2 linked regions of the Kluyveromyces lactis genome follow. The protein of the gene in region 1 purifies or fractionates together with the protein of each later gene. This does not show direct contact. Links are inferred from orthologs where the notes say so. Each region holds a gene or a part of one and is shown on either strand. Other genes may lie near its edges.

What was found.
Region 2: the proteins of DHH1 (region 1) and LSM1 purify together in Saccharomyces cerevisiae (affinity purification with mass spectrometry; 6 studies listed by BioGRID, with this or other methods). This does not show direct contact. The link is inferred for Kluyveromyces lactis from reciprocal best matches to the Saccharomyces cerevisiae genes DHH1 and LSM1.

What each region holds. Positions count from the first base shown.
Region 1 is NC_006039.1:1,452,372-1,456,008, reverse strand, and holds DHH1 (DExD/H-box ATP-dependent RNA helicase DHH1), read right to left. Parts: upstream 2,355-3,637; coding exon 810-2,354; downstream 1-809. Other genes in the region: mitogen-activated protein kinase kinase STE7, read left to right, coding at 3,314-3,637. UniProt on the Saccharomyces cerevisiae protein: ATP-dependent RNA helicase involved in mRNA turnover, and more specifically in mRNA decapping by activating the decapping enzyme DCP1.
Region 2 is NC_006041.1:1,348,602-1,350,732, reverse strand, and holds LSM1 (Lsm1p), read right to left. Parts: upstream 1,377-2,131; coding exon 837-1,376; downstream 1-836. Other genes in the region: KLLA0_E15181g (uncharacterized protein), read left to right, coding at 1-497; FMP46 (putative redox protein), read left to right, coding at 1,994-2,131. UniProt on the Saccharomyces cerevisiae protein: Component of the cytoplasmic LSM1-LSM7 complex which is involved in mRNA degradation by activating the decapping step.

The sequences.
Region 1 (3,637 bases):
CATATGTTTGGAGTTCTCACCCCCATGGTATTGACAGCCGTACTATCCAGGGACATAGCTTAAGTGATTCAACAGGCAACCATATACTAGCATAATAAGTTGTGCTGGTCGATATAGTAATATAAGACGGAGAAAAAAAAAAGAGAGGATAAGTAGATTGAGTAGATTGATTGGCTATATTGTATGATTGAGCCATCACGGTTAAGACCGGCCAGTTTAGTAATACTGATTCTTTTGAAATTATCGTAGTAGGACAGGCGATTGGAATGAATGGAGGAAGAAGCTGATTGATTAAATTTACAGGCGATAGCGCCTGAAAAAGAAAAAATGAAGGCATTCGTATTCCAAACCTGGGCATACAAGCAAAGGTGGGGAACAAAGTCCAGGAACCTTTAGTGGAATTCGTAGAGATGGTTAGTATTGAAACCCACGATTCATATTAATTCAGGGCAAAAAGAATAAGACCCTATAGAGCAACCAAATAAAGTGTGCTGAAAAAGTGCATTGATTATGATACATTTAGTTATAGTCAATTTTGGTTAATGTACAATCAACATTAGTGAGATTTTTGAAACGCGCAAGGATTGTCGAGTATTTGAAAATATTCAATAGCGTCTAGAGGTACAATATGCGTGGTATGTGGACAAAGCCTAATTTTTTAACAAATACAAAATAATGACAAGAACTGAAATTGGACCTGAATTTCAACTCATAGGATCGACTTGGGTTTTGAGTAGTAAAAGTGGGAAATTAAGATAAAAAAAAAAACTGCTCCGTTAGAAGCAAGCATTAAAACAATGCTTAATTCATTATTGAGGAGCTTGAGTGTATTGTTGTTGTGGGAAGCCTTTTGATGGGAAAGGTTGAGGTGGATAAGCCTGTTGTTGGTAGTTTTGCGGCATTAGAGGCTGACCATATTGCTGTTGTTGTTGGTTTGGGAATTGTTGATATTGTTGTTGTTGTTGTTGCTGTTGTTGTTGCTGTTGCTGCTGAGGAGGAGCATGGAATTGCACTTGAGTTTGTTGAGGAGGCAACGGTTCAGCATTTGCAGGTTGTTGGGGAGCATTTGCAGTGATTGGCAGGGATTCCAAAGGGAATGGGATTGGGACTGCGGAACTATCTTCCGCAACGTACAAGGATTTATCAATTTGAGATGGGATAGGAGCAATTTCGGTGTTTAATTCTTGCTCGATCTTGTACAAGTTGAATCTATCGTTCCAGTTAATCAAGTTGATAGCCAAACCCAAGTGACCGAACCTACCAGATCTACCAATACGATGCAAATAAGTTTCGGCAGTCTTTGGGAAATCGAAGTTAATGACCACATTAACGGCTTGAATATCGATACCACGAGTTAACAAATCGGAACAAACCAACGTACGAACTTTACCTTGGCGGAATTCATGGAAGACTTTGTTTCTTTCGGATTGTTTCATTCTAGCATGTGAGTAGTAACAAGAAAATCCTAATTCAGTAATTTTTTTAGCCAAAAGTTCGACACGGTTAGTAGAATTACAAAAGATAATTGCTTGGTTGATTTGCAATTTACTGAACAAAGTGTTCAAGCAATGAAGTTTTTGTTTTTCTTCCACGAATGCATAAAATTGTGATATACCCTTTAGTGTCAATTCATCCATCAAATTAATCTCATGAGGGTTTTTCAAATGCTTCACCATGAACTCTTTCACGGTGACTGGGAAAGTCGCACTGAACAAAAGCAGTTGACGACGTTCTGGTAAGAACCCAAGTATTTGTTCCGCCAACACTTTAAAGTCACGACTTAACATCTTATCCGCTTCATCCATAATGAACAAATGACATTCGCTCAAATCTGTCACTCTTCTTGATGCCAAATCTAGCACTCTACCGGGCGTACCCACCAAAATGTGTACAGGTTCATTTAATCTCATGATGTCATCTCTCAAATTCGTACCACCAGTGGTAACCATACAAGAGATACCACAGTGTTTCCCTAGCGTGCGCACCACTTGTGATGTTTGCAAAGCCAACTCTCTTGTAGGAACCATAATCAATGCTTGAATTTTGTTCAACTTGGGCTTCACTTTTTCCAAAGTTGGTATAACGAACGCTGCCGTCTTACCAGTACCGTTCTTGGCACGCGCTAATATATCCTTCCCGGCAATGGCAACGGGAATAGCTTCTTCTTGGATTGGGGAAGGCTTCTCAAACCCTGCTTCAAATATACCCATCAAAAGTTCTCTTTTCAAATAGAAATCTTCAAACGAACGACCCTTCGTGTTCAACACATCATCAGTCTGAGGCCTCGTATCCTTTTTAGGAATATTCAACTGGGTCTTCCAGTCGTTATTACTTTCGCTTGTATCGCTGCCCATATTATCAATTATCTTTAATATTCTTTGCAGATAAAGTTAAACCTTCTTAAATAAAGCTTCAATGAATTAGTCAATTAATAAAATTAGTCAATTAGTGTATATCCGGAAACTATGCTGTTGCTAATATCACAGAGTAGAATGTATAAATACTATACCTATGACCATAATACACATGTTATACTTTTATTTCCTCTTGTGCCTCTGTAATAATTGTTCAAATTAATTCTAAACTTCATAATTTTTTCTTCTTTCCAGAGTGGAGGGAAGAGCAATGTTACCCTACTGAAGCAATTACAAGTGCGGGTAACGGATATCACCCTTTTCACAAAATCCGAATTGTCACGTGATAAGAAAAGTGAAGACATGTCCGGGTAACAAATATGCCAAGGGCTAAGCTCAGCACCGTGAGGCTTCTCTATCACTTGTAGCGATAAGGTACGATGCAGTGCGAATAATGGGAATGCCTAGACAAAAATATATATAGATGTATCAGCGCATATGAGCGTACGTTGAAATGAGAATGCTCGAGGCAACTAGGCATTCCCATTACGTTCAATAGCAGAAGTGACTTCCTTTCATTTTCTTGTTCTATTCGTGGTTCCGTTGAGGACCACACTAATTTATCATGCACCGTATAAATAAAAAGTAGCGTAATAATTAAGTAATGATAAAGAAAGCCTATACAAGGCTAAGCAGTAACTCAGAAGAAGAAAGAGACGATTACTGAGGCAGCAAGGAGTGTTGCAAAGAGCCAACGTGTGTTGTTTTTTGGAACCTGGTGGGGTCTTTCTATTAGGGTTTCTAGTTGCATTTTAATTTTTGTCTCATTTTACAATCATCTGAGCCTGTAAGTTTGGCTTTGGTATTAATATCTATTATTGATCGTAAAACTTTAATATCTCCAAAGAGAAGAGGCGCAGAAAGTGGTGAACATTGAGGTCAGATTGACTTAAAAGCATATGATTACACGTACCCAAAACGGCTCGATGTTATTGAATCGAATAAACCATGAACCGTCGAATGATAGTGCAGAGGGATCGTGCAATAGTTTGTTCAAACCGAAGACTTTGAAACGGAAGAATTTGAAGCATTTGACTCTAGAATCATCATGTTCATCATCATCTTCCTCTCCTGACGAAATACCGAAAGGTTTTAGTAATGGAAATGGTCCAACACTCAGTTTGATGTTGGAGAAGCTTCCGGTCCGTGAGGAAATAAGTCCAATTAGCAGAGACACTTCATTCCAGACGGTTTCATTCCTTCAAGGGAGTTCTAGTACATCA
Region 2 (2,131 bases), on another chromosome or scaffold:
TGAAATCCTCTGTTACAAAATTATTTCAATGCTTAAAACTTTGTGGTATGGGACAAGAATCCTTGAGACTTTCCAATAAGAGAGCTGCTGAAAGGAAAGTGTTTGGTTCCAAATTACAGAAGAGTGAGTATTTCAAATTTGATCTTGCTCATTGGAGGATTAAGATTGAAACCTGTAAGCTGCTTTGTTTCAACGCGGCAATCAAATGTGATTACGAAGGTGTAAAAGCGGCAAGAGAAGAAATTGGGATGGTGAAAGCCGTGACACCAAAGGAAATCTCGTCACTGGTGGATTGGTCTATCCAGTTGCATGGATGTTACGGACTCTGTTCAACACAAACACCCTTGTCACATATGTGGCAAGTGAGTCGATCGCTAAGAATTAATGATACGCCGGACGAATCATTAATATCACAACTGGGGAGGTTGGAAATCAGTAATTATAACAAATTTCAAAAGACATACGATCAAGAATTAACGACGCTCGCTGGCAAATGAGTTGATCCGTTAGTTAAGAATTAATTTTGACCGTTATAATGGTTCTATTTTATGTCAAATGGGGATTATTGTCCCATTAATTTTTTTTTTTTTTTTTTTGGAATGCCATGCCGCGCTATCTATGCATTTTACTTATTATGAATAGTACAGTACCGAACCATATATAAGTGAATATATATATCTCTATGTGATATATAATTGAGTATCAAAAGATAAATACCCTTCAAAACCACACGATCTCCAGTTTGTGTAATGATTTAGTTTAGTTTAGTTTAGTTTCGAATTGTATGTTTTACGATTTTTTTTTGCTTGTCTTTTAAACTAATTATAATCTTATACTTAATACAAATCACCTTTATTGAAATCGGTAGTTAAACCAAGCTGCGCTAGTCTCTTACCCTTAGCAGTGTTCTCCTTGTATTTCACCTCGTCCATTTTCTCCTTATAGCTTTCAGCTTCCTCAAATGGAACACGTTCCATCGATTCCAATGGTGCATCCTCCTTATCGATGTCTACTTCGCCCAACATAACAACGTTTTCACCTCTTATCATGAAAACTCCTCTGTCACATTCACCATATTTATTCTCACCCTCGATATATATTCTTTCCACCGTATGCTGTAGTATTAAGTTGGCATATTGATCAAACGTCCTTAGTACACCGAAGAACATACGGCCATCGCGCAATAGTACGAATATCTTGCGGTCTACTGAGCCAACAATGGCAGCTGTAGTTGTGAAATTGTATTGGTCCAAATATAAATCTGCTTCACCTTCTGATAGCTTGGACTTAGGACGATTTTCTTCCACATCGGAAGCCACTGGTTCAGTAACTCCTACTGAACTTGCTCTGTCGCTATTCGGAGACGAAGAGGACATTTGTAATTTGAGACTCTGATTCTTTCAATGAGCAAGTGAAAAAAAAAAAAAAGATTATAATGAATTGTAAAATTCAACACTGATTGTGATAGTTCTGGGTATCACTTGAAGGATAAATAGGCCGTTAAAGCGTCCAACGATTCATCTTTTTGGCAGTTCATTGCAATTCCATTTGATGTTGAGCTAGCTGAAACGAATTGAAGAAAAAAAATGTATGGTAACGTTGAGGCAGGGTAACTATAGGATGACTACCTTTGCTACAGGACCGCATAGTCATTGCACAGACAAGGCACAAATGGTTAGCTTGATGATTCTGTTTCCAAGTAGGTGAAAGGTGCTGCCAATCCGGATACTAAGTAGGGACGTCATGACTCCGTATCATAGTATTGATTGCTGGATTTTCCGGGATTTTGTTTCCCTGCCATGCGTATTTGAGGGATAATAGTATGATTTCCAAAATGTACATATTTCAAAGATGTCTTAATTTAGTATTGCGTATATAAAGGCAGCAACAATTACTGGGGTGACCTGACTTAATTAGACTGAAGTATTTAACTGAGTAAAAGTTCGAATTTTTTATAGAGGGGGACATTGACAATCAGTATCTTCAATTCATCATGTCTATGTTTAAAACCATCCAATTTCAACCTCGCGTAGTGACATTATTCACACACAAATTAGAATCATCTCATGCTCAAAATCTTCTAACGGCATTAAAATCGAACCACAAGAACAAAATCAACATTGAAATATGC